Linked DNA regions of Cricetulus griseus. The protein of the gene in region 1 interacts with the protein of each later gene in a pairwise test. Links are inferred from orthologs where the notes say so. Each region holds a gene or a part of one and is shown on either strand. Other genes may lie near its edges.

What was found.
Region 2: the proteins of Ndrg4 (region 1) and Mal2 interact in binary tests that used the Homo sapiens proteins (3 or more experiments, as listed by UniProt). The two-hybrid records come from large-scale screens. The link is inferred for Cricetulus griseus from reciprocal best matches to the Homo sapiens genes NDRG4 and MAL2.
Region 3: the proteins of Ndrg4 (region 1) and Rabac1 interact in binary tests that used the Homo sapiens proteins (3 or more experiments, as listed by UniProt). The two-hybrid records come from large-scale screens. The link is inferred for Cricetulus griseus from reciprocal best matches to the Homo sapiens genes NDRG4 and RABAC1.
Region 4: the proteins of Ndrg4 (region 1) and Reep6 interact in binary tests that used the Homo sapiens proteins (3 or more experiments, as listed by UniProt). The two-hybrid records come from large-scale screens. The link is inferred for Cricetulus griseus from reciprocal best matches to the Homo sapiens genes NDRG4 and REEP6.

What each region holds. Positions count from the first base shown.
Region 1 is NC_048596.1:171,897,208-171,900,707, reverse strand, and holds part of Ndrg4 (protein NDRG4), read right to left. Parts: intron 2,701-3,500; coding exon 2,653-2,700; intron 2,505-2,652; coding exon 2,469-2,504; intron 2,350-2,468; coding exon 2,298-2,349; intron 1-2,297. UniProt on the Homo sapiens protein: Contributes to the maintenance of intracerebral BDNF levels within the normal range, which is necessary for the preservation of spatial learning and the resistance to neuronal cell death caused by ischemic stress.
Region 2 is NC_048603.1:797,779-801,715, forward strand, and holds the start of Mal2 (protein MAL2), read right to left. Parts: upstream 2,801-3,937; coding exon 2,669-2,800; intron 1-2,668. UniProt on the Homo sapiens protein: Member of the machinery of polarized transport. Required for the indirect transcytotic route at the step of the egress of the transcytosing cargo from perinuclear endosomes in order for it to travel to the apical surface via a raft-dependent pathway.
Region 3 is NC_048602.1:9,714,295-9,718,581, reverse strand, and holds the start of Rabac1 (prenylated Rab acceptor protein 1), read left to right. Parts: upstream 1-1,487; 5' UTR 1,488-1,605; coding exon 1,606-1,661; intron 1,662-1,833; coding exon 1,834-2,046; intron 2,047-2,285; coding exon 2,286-2,383; intron 2,384-4,287. UniProt on the Homo sapiens protein: General Rab protein regulator required for vesicle formation from the Golgi complex. May control vesicle docking and fusion by mediating the action of Rab GTPases to the SNARE complexes.
Region 4 is NC_048598.1:101,122,398-101,126,585, forward strand, and holds the start of Reep6 (receptor expression-enhancing protein 6), read left to right. Parts: upstream 1-1,388; 5' UTR 1,389-2,715; coding exon of another isoform or gene 2,716-2,820; 5' UTR 2,821-3,086; coding exon of another isoform or gene 3,087-3,266; 5' UTR 3,267-4,084; coding exon 4,085-4,188. Other genes in the region: Pcsk4 (proprotein convertase subtilisin/kexin type 4), read right to left, coding at 2,716-2,820, 3,087-3,266. UniProt on the Homo sapiens protein: Required for correct function and survival of retinal photoreceptors. Required for retinal development.

The DNA of each region.
Region 1 (3,500 bases):
GCCACAATGTGCACAGAGGCCTGTCCCAAGCCAAGACGCTGGCGCTGGCTCCATCAGGCCGAGGCATGCAGGGCCAGCAACAGTGAGCACGCCAAATGGGCTGTAGCCAGCAGGGTCCTAGGTCCCCAATAGCTACTCAGAGCTATGGCCAGGGAGGGTACATGTTGACTAGGCACTCTTAGCTGGGATAGGAAGACACTGTGTGTCCAACTAGACCTTCATCCAGAAAGTGACAGGGTAGGAGGCAGGGTTGCTTCTGAGAAGGACACAGACAGTCACAAACTACCCTGAATCTTGCTTCTACTATTATAGGTGAGGCCAATCCACCTAGAGGCTGGGCCAGGGACAGACATGACACCTGCACAGGCCAACCTAGCGCTGTGTCTGAGGTTCTGCTTCTAACTCCCAAAGCTTTGGAAGTCTCATAGCTCACAGCAGCCTAGACACAAGACAACTGCTCTGAGACTAGCCAGCATCAGGTTCCAACATGGAACAGAGCCCTCAGCAGACCAGGGTCTGCAGTAGAGCAGGGGATCCACTGAGGCTTCTTGCTGAGCAGGACACAAGAGGATCCCAAACCACGGCAAGACACAGTGTGGCCGCAGCACTGCAGGGGAGCGGGGGGTGGGGAGGGGGGAGAGGACAGACTAGGCAGGGTATCCATGCATCAGGAGAGGGGCCATGGGGCTACCTGCTCCTCCACTCAGCCTTCGGTCCTTCAAGTGTGCAACTAAGAGAGAAGACAGCCAGAGAGGGCAAGGGTAGGGGAGACACAGAACATGGTGAAGATTGAGCCAGGCCAAGGGCATCGAGATGGGCCAAGATGAGACAGACAAACGAGTGAGGGCCAGGGCTGAGCCTCAGAAAGCCCACTTTTGCAACCTATCCAAACAGCAGTTCATGGAAGCCACGCACCAGTCTCACCTCTCCCTCTCCTATAACCCAGGCTGTGGTGTACACATCCTAGACCCAGAGCCCTCACTGCTCTACCAGATCTCAATCTTGCACATGAAGGGAAGGAAGCCTGAACCATCTTCCAAAGCCCCTCCCCGACTCCTGGGATGCCTGGTAGATCCCTCATGAAGCCCAAGGACACACACTAGTGCTTACAACTGTTGTTCTTTCTTGTCCTCATAGCTGTCTGCCAAGCTCCAAGAGTGCATGGGGCCCAGCTTAGGGTTCTGGCTAGTCCTGTCTGCCTTTGCAGTTCTTTGCCATTTTCCCATGAGGTTGGCAGGGTGGAGGGTTATCCTATTTCTGTCCCAAGGAGGTCAAGCTCCAGAGGCTGAAGTCTTTGGTGGAGGGCACCAAATTGAGGGAGAGCAGTTCACCTCCCAGCAGGTGTATGCTGTTAAGAGGGGACCAGAGGTCCAGGAGGTATACAGGAGCCACCTGAATCATAAAGCTGTGTGTATGTATGTTTGTGTGTGTATGTATGTGTGTATGTTTGTGTGTATATGTTTATATGCATGTGTGTGCATGTGTGTGATGTATGTATGCTTGTGTGTATGTATGTGTATAATTGTATGTGTGCATGTGTGTGATTATATTGTGCATATGTGTATGTATGTGTGTGAATCATGTGTATGTGTGTATGTTTGTGGTTGTATGTATATGTGTAATTGTGTATGTATGTTTGTGTATGTATTATATGTATGTGTATGTGCATGTATCTGTGTATGTATGTTTGTGTATGTATCTGTGTATGCATGTTTGTGTGTGTGTGTATCTGTGTATGTGTGTGTGTGATTGCATAGTGTGTGTGTGATTGCATAGTGTGTGTGTGTGGTGTGTGTGTGTGCTCTGTATGCTGAGTCTCATCACTGTTACATGAGGAGATGTTTCAGGAAGGATGGGAACCAGAAAGCTGCTTTAGAGCCCTTGTTCCCAGCAGATTCTCAGGCTTACTTTCCACAGGTTTGGACAGGCTAACACCAAGATGGTCCCAATTCCCTTCTCTGGTCCCAGACTCCATGAGTCTAGGCACTAAGCCTCTACGATGACAAAGAGCCTTTTGAGGTACCCTAATCCCAATAGGGTGTGGGTGACTCATCTGAAACAGGCTTCCCTAATAGCACCAGGCCATGCTCCTGGTCTCTCAAGGCTGGAAGACGAGTCTTCTCCCAAAGTAGAGGCTGGCTGCGCCCAGGACTTACACCCTAAAATGTATGCAGAGTCTAGGGAGAGTAGGCCAGCTGTCAGGGGTCCAGGTGACAGAGTACACTCACCCACAGACTCCCCAACACACGGGCAATGTGCCCCGTTCCCTTGCCCAGGGTGGGTGGAGGTGTACTTACTGTAGCCCATGCCTTGCAGGAAGTATTTGAAGGCCTCAGTCAGTTTTCCTGGCTGCAAGAAGATGGACAGGAATGTGCTCTGATTGGCTGCCTAGGTCTAGTGGGGAGGATGCCATCCCCCCATCCCCAACAGGCTGGGTGATACAAAGGCAGAAGGTCCAGGGGTCTTACCTGTGTCACCTGAGGAAGGCCACCAGAATCTGCCATCTGAAAGGAAAAGGGCAGGGAGAACTGAGTCCCTCTCAACACCTGGACAGACCGTGCTGTTCAAACACCACCCTGTTCCCATGCTGTCCACCAGACCCCTTCCTGCAGCTGAGCCACCGGGCTGATGGGGTGGGGTGGGGCATCTCACCTTCAGGAAGGTTGTGGTGGTTGGGTCCAGTTTGGAGTTACACTCAACCTGGGGACAAGGAGACAGCTGCAGCAAGACCCCTGCTCCACTGCTTAGGCAGGTTCTGTGCCCAAAGCAGGAAGAGGGAGGGAGGGAGGGAGGGAGGGAGGAGGAGGAGGGAGGGAGGAGGGAGGGAGAGGGAGGGAGGGAGGGAGGGAGGGAGGGAGGGAGGGGAGGAAGGGAAAAGAGGACTATACAGGGGCCTGGGCTTCCATTCCCAGGCTTTCTCATGCTAGGACTTCCTAAGTCCCTGGAGGCCTGCTGGTCTAAGGGGCGTGAAATTCCACTCATAACCGCAGGTGGAGCAGCAATGGGGCAAGGCTTTGACCCAGAAGGCCAGGGTGACATTAGCAGGATGTACCAGAGATCTGGGCATTGTTAGGGTCAAGATGACACTGGGGCCCTGCCTGGGTCACGATAGCTAGTGCAGCCTACACCCTGCCCTTGCAGTCTTCCTCGTGAGCCCTTGAAAGTCTGATATCTTCTGAACACCCCTGGGCTGGCAACTGAGACTGCTTTACTGCTAGAGTGCCAACGGGAGCAGTTTCAAGCACTGCCCCACCCTGGGGGCCTGGGGGGCTCCAGGGTGAGTATTGATGTCTATGAGCCACTTATGGCTTAGATTTTGGAAGAAGTAGGCCTTGGGCTCTAAACTGAAAGTGTATGGAGACTGGGATAGGCTACACTGTGAGAGCGAGGAGGGAATGCCAGGCCACATGGCCCTAGTCTTAGCTCCATCCACTCACCAGGCCTCTTCCCCTGCACAATGAGGGGGTGGTGGTCAGACCCTGATGTGTGACCAGGTGGCA
Region 2 (3,937 bases), on another chromosome or scaffold:
GGCAAGTTACAGGCCAGTAAGAGATCTTGCTCATCCTGATCCCTATGCCCAAAAGAGTCCAAAGGATAGTGAGATGACTCAGTGGGAACAGTGCCTAATGTCAAGTCTGAGAATCTGAATCTGACCCCTGGAACCCGCATGGTGGAAGTAGAGAACTGATTCCTGCAAGTTCTCCCCTGACCTCCGCACAAGCGTTGTGGAATGGGTGTGCCCTCTGTTCCCTCAATAAATAAGCAAAATATTAAAAAAGAAAAGGTGGACAGTTCCTGAGGAATGACACTCAATGTTGTTCTCTGGCCTCCATATACACTTAAACACACAGGCACGAGGATACACACACACACACACACACACACACACACACACACACACACACACACACACGTGCAAGTCCAAATGGCTTTGGGAAGAGACTCCTCTACTTTGATAAGAGTCTAACCCGTGTCAGGGTTAGGTAAGTTGCCAGAGGAGCGGCTAAGAAGACTAAGAAAGCAGGAAGTATGTGGGATACTTCCCCACACTTCCAGAATCTAATCCTCCTATCCATCCTAATGAACAAAAAAACGTTCTCCTTTCTGCAGATCCTGGTCCAAAGGCACTATCAGTCAGTTGCAGTTATTCTGTGTATTGGGATCTCCAGGGAACTTTAAAAAAAATTAGCTGACTCTGGGTGCTCCCTTAGAGACACTGGTTTAATTAGTCCAGGCTGGCAACAGTACTTTTCAAAGCTGCCAAGTTATTAAATACAGCCAGAGTTAAGAACTAACTACTGTGGTAGATAGGAAAAGGAGATATGGAGCTAGAAGGAGTTCAATAAGTCACCTTCAGAACTAGTGTTCCATAAATGTGCCACACCGTCAGGTGGGTCCTGAGTAGCATTTGTTTTGATAACATGTGGGCAACACTTCTATGCATATGTTTCCATATACACATGTGTGTATACATATATATATGTATATATATACATATATGCCATGTATATGTATACATACAAGTTAATTGTATAAATATATTTGAATAACTATTAGAAATGTATAACCAACATATCAAATTTGAGATGCAATGTATATTACTGCTGAGGATGAAGCTAAGTTCTAGCCAAAGGTTAGGCAGCAACTCTACCACGGAGGGCAGCTTTTCAAGCGTTCTTGGGATTTGAACACAGGTCCTCACAATTTTGCAACAAGTCCTTTACTCATTGATCCTTTGTCCTGGCCCCTGAAAATGATAAATTTTGGTGTTAATGTTTTCAGCCTGAGCTAAAAGGCTTGGTTTTGCAAGATCAACTTTGTATTAAACTTAGGCAAATATATGGTAAATATGTAACAGGGAAGGATAGCTTGGGCCAACACCGAGGGGCTGGCAAGTTAGGAGCTCAGTGGTAGACCACACCTATCTCAAGACTAATATATATAGCATCACTGTCTCATTCCTATGCCGCTGTACTGGGCTTAAACCCGAACCCACACCAGGGTCTTCTAGACTCACAGTCAGTCTGATCCCAGCTGCCACCGCCTCTGCTTTCCGATTCAAATCGGAGCTAAACCTAAGGTGGCTTGGCTACCAAAGCATAGTGGGGCAGAAAACCAAGGCTCCCACGGTTTTCAGCTCCACAGCACAAAAGGGAAGCCAGAGTGACCCAGATCCAGGTTATGCAAACTCACAGGAGGATGAGTGACATGAAAACCCTAAAGGGAGCAAACAAAACCCGCCTGCAGGAAAGGCCCTGCCTTGCTAACATTTCTTTCTATTTGACATTCTCCGGGCATGATGCAACCCCAGTTGCCCAATTTATATTTACACATCCCCCTTGTCCACAAGGAGCTTCGAAAGCTCCCAACTGTACAGCATTCCTTGCCCAAGTTCAAGTGTCTAGTTCCACAAGGTTGCAGGGCGGGCCTGTGACTTCAACTTTCCTAGGTACAAGCGAGGTGCTCCGAGGAGGTTTGGAATTCTCAGGTAAACTGAAAATGGACAAGGGGCAAAGGCGAGAGTTGGAGCTGACAGCCCCACGTCTGTCTTCCACTTTTCCCCACGGTTGGTTCTCACGGCCTCTTGATTACACACTGCCAACGGCACCTACAATCTCACCGTCCTCCCTGCCCCGTTCTTCCCCAATCCAAAGGGCACTGACGATGGCAAGGGTGAGTGGGGTGAAAACCATACCCAGGCTTCAGCCTCCTCCTGCTCCTCCTTTTCCCTGGCGCCTTCCGCCCCGGCTTTCCACATCCTACCAGCTTCCTGGCCACCCAGTCATCGGTACACCTTTGCACCACCCAACAAAATGGCAGGTTAGCGACAGGAGGGGCCGAGGGCGCCAGTTCCTCCACCAGGCAAGCGTAGACCCTGTCCAAAGCCCAGTCCCCGCGACTCCTCCAAGCGCTAACACCCCTCTCCTGCCCAAGTCCCTAATCTTGGGCCCTTTGCCTGCTCGCACTCTAGGGGACATTTCCATTCCAGGCCGGCGAGCAGGTGGCCGCGTAACAGGTGCCAAGCAAAAAGGCCCGGACACAGAGTGGAGGGGACCCCGAGACCGTGGGCAGGAAAAGGCCACTTCCAGGAGAAGGTGATCGCCGGGGGGACCAGACCGGGCTGGGGGCAAGGATGCTGCCTTGCCTGTCCCTGCTCCCCGGGGCTCGATCGTCGCCTACGCTGCTACCCTACTCACAATCTCCAGGCAGACGAAAGCTCCCGAGTAGGTCCGCAGGATGTCGGGGCCCACGGGCAGGGTGACCCGGGGCGCCGGGAAGGACACAGCGGGGTTCGGGGGCGGCGGGACTGCCGCTCCGCCGGCCGACATGCTGCCGCTGCTACGTCTCCGCGCACAGCCGCCACCGCCTCCCGCGTCCGCCTCCGCCTCCCTCCCGGGCTTGCCGCCGCCGCCGCGCCGCCGCGCGCCGCCGCCGCCGATCCGGTCCGCGGGGTCCGGGCGTGCCGCTCGCCGAGAGGGCGTGGCCAAGGGCCCTCTACACAGAGCCCCGCCCCGTCACGTGGGCGCAGGTGAGCACGTCCCCGCCCCGGCGCCCGCAGGGGTCACCCGTACAGGTGCGCGGTGCGCTCCGGCTACAGGGCCACCAGCTCGCCCAGGCTCTCGCGATCACCTGCTGCCCCTGCGCTAAATGTCCCGCGGGTCCCACCTCTCCATCCCACCCCACTCTCACCCGGGCCTCACCCTCTGTCCCCAGTTGGGCAGGAAGACAGAGACTGTGACTCAGAAAGCAAACGCCAGTCGCCAGGCACACCTGGAAAGCGGGATGCCTGTTTTAAAGGGGACTGTAATGGAATTTTCAAAGATGTCACCAGGGTCGTGTGGCACTTGGGAGTCGATGGCTGGCCGTAGGTCCCCGGAGGGCTGCTTTGAGGTTTCCTACTCTGTTCCGGGAAATCCCTATGAGGATATCCGCCAGTGAGGGACAGAAAAGTTCAGTGCCCAGGAAGCGCTCTGTAAACTGTAGCTTTTAGGACGGCAGCTACTTTTCCAATCCCGAGATCTGTATCATTGCTCTGTCTACAAACGATGTCAGCCGCATCACGTTTCCACACAGACCCTTTTCATTTAGCCCTCACACATGTACTCTTTGACACTGTCTTTTAACACTCAGCAGACCAAAAAAAAAAAAAAAAAAAAAAAAAAAAGGATGCTATGTATGAGTCCCTTGCCTCAGTTTACCTCGTGCGTTCCCATTGTAGTCTTGGTTTCAGTGTTAATGTCTGTAAGTGGGACAAAGGAAGGGGCATTTCTCAAAGGTCATCTGAAGATAAGTTAAATGACTCACATCAGCACACAAGTAGATCCAGTGGAAAAAACAATAGCTAACCCTGGCATGGCAGCACAAGCCTGGAATAGCAGCGTTTCATAGGATGAGGCCAGAGGATTGCCCTGAATTTGAAACCAGAAGGCTGCAAAACCGGTAATAGGACATCTAGGGATACCTAG
Region 3 (4,287 bases), on another chromosome or scaffold:
GCAGCTCACAACTGTCTATAACTCCAATTCCAGGGGATCTGAACCTTCACACCAATGCATTTAAAATAAAGTTAAATAATTAAAAAAATAGTTAAGCACCCTGACTGCTCTTCCAGCACCCATATGGCAGCTCACAACTGTCAGCAACTCCAGTTCCAGGAGACCCAACACTCTCACACGGACGTGTATGCAGGCAGAAGACCAATGTACATAAAATAAAAACAAATCATTTTTAAAAACCAGGTGGTAGTGTCACACACCTTTAACCCAAGCACTAGAGACAGGTGAATCGCTGAGAGTTTGAGACCAGCCTGGTCTACAGAGCGAGTACCAAGGGCTATGTAGAAAGACCCTGTCTGGAAAAAGTAAATAAATAAAACAGATGTTTTAAATGAAAATAAAAAAGAGGGTTTGGAGAGATGACTCAGTAGTTAAGAGTGTGCGTGCTGCTTTTCCAGAGGACTAGAGTTCAGTTCCCAGCCCATGTATTTTGAACAGCTCACAATTGGTGGTAACTTCAGTTCCAGGGGGGGGATGTAATACCCTCTTCTGGGCCTCCTCAGGCACCGTCACCCATGTGGCACACACACATAAACCATTTATTTTTAATTCTTTTTGGTTTTTGGAGACAAGGTTTCTGTGTAGCTTTTGGAGGCTGTCCTGGCACTTGCTCTGTAGACCAGGCTGGCCTCGAACTCACAGAGATCCTCCTGCCTCTGCCTCCCGAGTGCTGGGATTAAAGGCTTGAGTCACCAATGCCCGGCAGAAGCCATTTTTTAGAAAAGATATTTTAAAAGTTATGTGTATCTGTGTAAGTACACGTGAGTATGTTTGATTGACTAGAGCTGGATATATACATATATAATATTTTTAAAAATTTATTTATTATACAGTGTTCTGCCTTCATGTATGCTATATGCCAAAAGAGGGCACCAAATCACATTTGTAGATGGTTGTGAGCCACCATGTGGGTTGCTGGGAATTGAACTCAGGACACCTGGAAGTGGAAGAGCAGCCGGTTCTCACACATCTGAGCCATCTCTCCAGCCCCTATAATTTTTGTTTTGTTTTGTTTTCTAAGGAAAGAGAAAGTTAATGAACTCCACCCCAGACCAGCCCAATCAGAATCAGAATATCTGAGGCTGCGGCCAATGTTTTTATTATTATTATTAATTATTTATTATTATTATTATTATTATTATTATTATTATTATTATTATTATTATTATTATTATTATTATTATGCCGTCTGGAGTCAGGATGATAGCTCCGCACCCTCCACGGAATCCCGCAGCTGCCATGCCAACTCCCGGTAAAAACGCCCCATCCTAAGAGCCCACGCTGCACGCTCTGAAACTACAGTTCCCACAATGCCTAGAGGCCCACGCGGCGCTCTTGGCATACTTCTCCCGAGGTGTCTTGCGAGCCCGACCGACCTCCTGACGCCGCAATGACTACAACTCCCAGAATGCTCGGAGACGCAACTACCGCCCCCTAGAGTGCCAAGCGGCGCCATGTCCTGAGCGTCCGGGCTCGGGCGGGGGCCGGCTGGGTGCGGCGGGGCTCGAGGCTGTCCGCGGCGATCCCACACACCGCAGCGTAGACATGGCGGCCCAGAAGGACCAGCAGAAGGATACGGAGGTGGAGGGGCTGAGCGCCACGTGAGCGAGCAGGGTGTAACCCCCCATACTCCCGAGCGTGGGGTCCCAGGCGTCCCGGCCCCCGGGCTTTGCAGAGGAGATGTCCCCCGGGGGCCGCGATGTGCTGGGATCTGGGGTCCGGGCCCTGGGACCGCTTGCGGCTGACCTGCCCCCGCCCCGCCCCGCCCTCCAGGACCCTGCTGCCCAAGCTGATTCCCTCCGGCGCCGGCCGAGAGTGGCTGGAGCGGCGCCGCGCGACCATCCGGCCCTGGGGCGCTTTCGTGGATCAGCAGCGTTTCTCGCGACCCCGCAACCTGGGCGAGCTTTGCCAGCGCCTGGTACGCAACGTGGAGTATTACCAAAGCAACTACGTGTTCGTGTTTCTGGGCCTCATCCTTTACTGCGTGTGAGTGCCTCGGCAGCCCCGCCCTCCTGCGCCAGGCCCCGCCCCCTGTTGCCAGGCCCCGCCCCCCGCCGGTTAGCTAGGCCCAGGGCCTTGTCACCCGAGCACCCAGGAGTCGGTCTGTATTCCTGAATCCACCCGAGCCGGGATGCAGTCTAGCCACCCCATGTGATGCCCAAGGCTAGAGGGAGCCGGCTCACACAGCCTCAGACGCCTGACTCCTGTCTCCCACACTCTTCCAGGGTGACATCCCCCATGCTGCTGGTGGCTCTGGCTGTCTTCTTTGGCGCCTGTTACATTCTCTATCTGCGCACGTTGCAGTCCAAGCTTGTGCTCTTTGGTGAGAAACCCCCCGCCCAAACGGATCCCCAGGTCCCACAGAACTGCAGACCTCCGAATATTTGGGAATCAAGTCGGTCCCACCGAGAGGTGCACTAGAGTCATTAAACTTAGTCCTTAAGGTCGCAGGTGAATACCCTCCAGTCTCAGCTCCCCAAAACCCAGGGAGAGCCCTAAAACCCCGGCTCCTGTGTCTCCTGTAAAATGAATCAGTCCTTCCCAATCCTCCCCGGGGAGAGCATCCGCTGCAGGTACCCACACTGGACACCAGGTGGCGACCGTGTGCAGGCCTAGGTCTGTCTGCCTTCCCATGCCTTCTGTCCCAGGGCTGAACTGGTAAGATACTAGATATTTCCAGAAGGGGAAACGGAGACCTGTCCGCCCACTGGGAAGAGAAGTGTCAGGGAAGACCCACTGAGAGGAAATCCCAGGTTTGCCAAGGAGACCTGTGACAGTCTTTCAGGTCCCAGACAGGTTACCAGAGGAAGATGGACTAGGGCCGAGCGAGAAGAGCCTGAAGCACAAGAGAACTTGGCCTTGGCAGATAGTAGTCACTAGGGCATACACAATTTCCAGACATAGGAGAGCCTGAAAAAAATTGTTTTGAGATAGGGTCTTCTTACGTAGCCTCGGCCTGCCAGGAGCTCACTCTGTAGACCAGACTGGCCTCCAACTCACAGATTTCCCCTGCCTCTGCCTCCTGAGTGCTGGGATTAAAGGAGTATGCAACCATGCCCTAGCCTTACAAAATTTGTTAAGCACCCAGAAGGCAGGCCCTCTGGGAAAGCAGCAAGTGCTCCTAACTGCTGGGCCGTCTCTCCAGTCCCCACAAACCAGATTCTTGTGAAACACTTCAAAGACAGACAGACGTTCTGGCTCATGCCTGTAATCCCAGCATTTGGGAGGCTGAAACAGGATGATTGCTGTAAATTCAAAACAAGCCTGGGCTTCAGAGTCTTTTAAAAAATCAAAATGAGCCAGGCATTGGTGGCGCACTCTTTTAATCCCAGCACTCGGGAGGCAGAGGCAGGCGATCTCTGTGAGTTCGAGACCAGCCTGGTCTACAGAGCGAGTGCCAGGATAGGCTCCAAAGCCACAGAGAAACCCTGTCTCGAAAAACAAACAAACAAACAAACAAAAATCAAAATGAGAGCTGGGCATGGTGGCACACACCTTTAATCCCAGCATTCGGGGTGAGGCTGGTGGATCTCTGTGAGTTCAAGGTCATCCTGGTCTACAAATCGAGTTCCAGAACAGCCAGTGCTATACAGAGAAACCCTGTCTCAAGTTTTTAAAAAACAAAAAATCAAAATAATGGTTTGGAGAGATGGCTCAGTGGTTAAAATTGAATTCTGTTCTTGAAAGGACCCAGGTTTTGTTCTCAGAACCCAATCCCCATGTCAGGTGACTGTCACAAGGCCACCTGTCACTCCAGCTTCTGGCCTCCATGGGCACCTGAACTCTTGTGCACATATGGCCACACAGGGTACATACACGTAATTCAAAGTAATAAATAAAATTATATAAGTTAAAAATAAGAAGACAAAAACCCTTAGGTCATGGACTGGAGAGATGGCTCCGGGGTTAAGAGCACTGACTGTTCTTCCAGAGGTCCTGAGTTCAATTCCCAGCAACCACATGTTGGCTCACAACCATCTGTAATGGGATCTGATGCCCTTTTCTGGCACGCACTGTATACATGATAAATAAATAAATCTTTAAAAAAAAAAAAAAACCCTCTTAGGTCAGACCTGGCAATGGGGCCACAAGGTTGAGAGTCCTGGTATCCAGGCTGGGACATGAGGCTAGCCTGGTCTGAGAGACAAGTGGCTTGGGAGGTCCTGGGGAGGGGGGGATAGAGAGCAGAGCTGGGGCTGAGGAAGGTGGTTTCATTCTGGTTATGTT
Region 4 (4,188 bases), on another chromosome or scaffold:
AAATGACTTAGTCTCTCCCTCTCTATTAATTTATGGCCCCCCCTTGTTTTTTTGGTTTTTCAAGACAGGGTTTCTCTGTGTAGCTTTGGAGCCTATCCTGGAACTAGCTCTGGAGACCAGGCTGGCCTTGAACTCACAGAGATCCGCCTGCCTCTGCCTCCGGAGTGCTGAGATTAAAGGCATGTGCCACCAACGCCCGACAATTTACCCCCCTTTTCCTTTAAGTTTATTTTGGAAGCTTAACCACTTCCACTTTGAGCCATAAAGAAGGGCTGACAGATTTGGTTTTTCGAGGCAGGGTTTCTCTGTATTGTTTTGGAGGCTGTCCTGGAACTCGCTCTGTAGACCAGGCTGGCCTCGAACTCACAGAGATCTGCCTGCCTTTGCCTCTGGAGTTTAAAGGCGTGAGCCACCACCACCCAGCTCCATGTAAAACTTGTATCCGTTTCTAGGACCCTGAAAATCTGTAGCCTTGCACCTGGCTAGAGCCAGAGAATTGCTGATTGTGTGTGTGTAGAAACGGGAGGGTGGCAGGACAGGATAGCAGAACAATAAAGAACACATGAAGAACATGTGTGTCAGGTGGTGTGTAACATCTTTTACCCCTCCTTCGTTCCTGAGAAGCATTTCACCTTTGGAACCTTGGGTAGGGGCTGGAGCAGATCTCCTAGACCTTATAACTTCTGACACTCTTCCTGGGTCAGGACAGCCCTGGCCCCATCCCCATGTCCACAACTTCCACTACCTCCTAGTGTCTGTCTCCTCGTTTTACATTTGTATATTCTCTCTCCCTTCTGTGTCTCTCCTCTGTCTTTCCTTTCTCTCTGTGTGTCTGTATGTATGCGCACCACGGCATATATGGAGGTCAAAGGACAGCTACTGGGGCTGGAGAGATGGCTCAGTGGTTAAGAGCAAAGGCCGCTCTTGCAGAGGATCAGGGTTCAATTCCCAGCATCTACATGGCAGCTCACAACTACCTAAGACAAATTCCAAGTAAATCCTGTGCCCTCTTCGGACCCCCGAGGGCTCCTGCGTGCCTGTGGTGCATCATGGGTAAGCAAGCAGGAGAGACACTAATGACACACGTTAGTCAGAAGTAACAAGTAAGTCTTTTAAAAAGAAACCATGGAGTCAGTTTTCTCCTTCCACTATGTGGATGGTGGCGAGAGCTCAGCCAGACTGAGCAACCATCTTTTTTTTTTTTTTAAAGATCTTATTTATTATGTATACAACATTCTGCTTCCATATGTATCTGCACACCAGAAGAGGGCACCAGATCTCATAAGGGATAGTTGTGAACCACCATGTGGTTGCTGGGAATTGAACTCAGGACCTCTGGAAGAACAGTCAGTGCTCTTAACCTCTGAGCCATCTCTCCAGCCCCTGAGCAACCATCTTTACCCTCTGAGCCATCTCACTGTCTTCTGAGATAGGGTCTCACACAGCCAAAAATGACCTTGAAATCCTGATCCTCCTGCCACCAATGACAGGTGTGCGTTTTCACTATCGCTTTAAGAGCACTGGGATGGAACCCAGGACTGCCTGCTTGCTGAACAAGTGCTCCACCCACTGAGCCTGAGCCCCTGTCCACCTCCCTCTTGGTCCAACATCACCAAATCTATTGCCCTGCTGGCCTCCAGCAGTCAACCTGCTCCTCACTTAGCTACAACTAACAACCAAGAAAGAGCTCATGTGTTCTCTTCCACCCCAGGGCCTTTGCAAGTGCTGTTCTGCCAGCCCAAACCAGCTCAAGTCCCCTCTCCTTACACCTCCAGCTTGGTCTGATGAGCCACACTCCTGGCTAACCTGGCTTGACCTCTCTGTCCATCTACCCCATCCATAGCCTCTCATCTCTTGTTCCTTCTCTTTACCCCATCTATTTGACTTCCTTCTTGTCAAGATTTGGCCTCTGAAAGGCACTTGGTCCCTGTGGTGGTTTGAATGAGACTGGTCCCACAGGCTCTTATATTTGAATGCTCAGTCCCCAGTTGGTTTGGGGAAGTGTGGCCTTGTTGGAGAAGGTGTGTCACTGAGAGGTTCTCTCTGCCTCGTCCTTGTGGGTGAGGGTGAAAGTTCTCAGCCACTGCCCCAGTGTGCCAGTCTGCCTGTCTGCTGCCATACTCCTCGACATGGTTGGTGGTCATGGAATCACCCTCTGACGCTGTAAGCTCCAATAAACTCTTCTTTCTGTAGGTTGCCTTGGTCATGGCGTTTTTGTGTCAGCAATAGGACAGTTACTAAGACAGTTCCTGACACACAAAGTGAGCACCTCTTCAGTGTATCTTGTAAGCCTCTATGGCTTGCACACTCACAAATCCATACCATTCTTTGACTACTGTTTAGGGGCTGTTCCCTGTGAGGACTGATCTAATGTGGATGTTTCCAAATAACACAAAGCACCATGGGCTCCACTCCTGATTCGGCTGCACAGTCACTGATTCAGGTTCTCACCTTGGGCATTGTTTTCTAGTCTGATAAAATGGACCGATTCTCTTCCCTACGTCGTATGGCTTGGAGCAGGGAAGGACCAGTGTGTGAGAACCTCTTTCCTTGAGAAGCAGGGCAGGGGCCGTCAGTATGTGGCCCCCCAAGTGCCATGTTGTGGTAGGTGTCATGCTCATACATGACGTCCCCAAGCAGGCCCCACTTGACACAATAAGAATGACTGAAGGTGGCTGGTTGGCCTTAGGAGATGGCAGCCATGGGCTCACTCACCTTGGGCTCTTTCTTCAGGCGCAGACGGTGGCCCCAGTGGGGGGTCAGGGACTGCTGAGCCACACCCCGGTGCCGTAGATGGAAATAGTGGTCGTCGGGAAAGATCTGGGAATGTGATGGACAGGGGCATCGCTGGGACCTGGCTCCTTTGATACAGTCCCAAGGATGGAGTCCAGTTTCTGCGGCATTATATACCTCAACCAGGTGCCCAGTTGAGGGTCGCAGAATCCCAAATTGAATATGGAGGGGGCACGTAGACACGTTCGTTCTTCATATCCGGGGAGGTCTTGGGGACCCCCTCCCATCTGTCCGGGTCTGAGGTCGTCCAGGTCCCCACCCATGGCCCATCCATCCAGGTCCCACCCACCCACCTGTCCCAGGTTGATGAAGCCAAATTTACGTGCCAGGCGCTCAGCCTCCTGGTAACCTTTGGTCACCCGCACGGCCCAGCTGCTGACATAGATGGGGGCCCGGGGTGAGGCCCACCCCACAGCCAGGAGGGCCAAAGCCAAAGCCAGACCCAGCCACAGCGCAGTCGGGGAGGGCCGCATAGCGGGGGGCGGGGCGGGGGGCGGGGCCTCAGGAAGCCACCCCATCCCGGACACCATAGCAACCCCGAAGCTTTCAACTCCCAAGGGGCCTTGCGGTTCCCTCGTCCCCCATCCATGAGGGGTGGGACTATCCCACATGAAGAGACATCCACACGGACCTAAGCCTTCGGGAGCCTCAGTTTCTCCACTTGTACAAGTGCAACACCTTCTGGTCCTTAGGAGCAGGTTCAGGATCACAGGGATACCCCCAACCATTTATTTGGTCCCGCCCACTTTCTTCCACGCCCCTCCTTAGAGAATCAGCCCTGCCTCTCCACATCTTCCAACCAGCATCGTTTGCTTCCAGTGTAGTCCCGCCTCCTTTATGATCAACTCCGCCTTCTCTAGTCTGTCCAATCAGCGCTGGTCTTAACCTGGCCCCACCCACCTGTTTCTCAGCTAGTCCCACCCACCCTCATCGCTCTCCGTCAATAATCTACGGCTTGTCCAATCAGTACCGAGTCACTTCCTCGTGACCAATCAACGCACCGGCAGCCTGGCGCCCCGCCCCCTCCAGCCTCCCTGTGGCCCGGCGGGCCTTAGCCCTGGCCAGAGGGCGATGCGGCGGGGGAGACGGGGCAGGCCCCACCTCCTTTGTCCGCCTTGCCCTCCCATTGGCCAGAGCCAGGGGTCGGGGGCGGAGCCAGGGCCGGGGGCCGAAAGCAGCGTGTCGGGGGCGGGGCCTGGCCGCGCGCGGGAGGCGAAGTCTGTGCGCCGTAGGCTGGGCCGGTGCGCGAGGCTGCGGGTGTGCTTGAGTGGCCTGCCGCGGGCCCACCGCCATGGACGGTCTACGCCAGCGCTTCGAGCGTTTCCTAGAGCAGAAGAACGTAGCCACCGAAGCGCTCGGGGCTCTCGAAGCCAGGACCGGTGTAGAGAAGCGGTA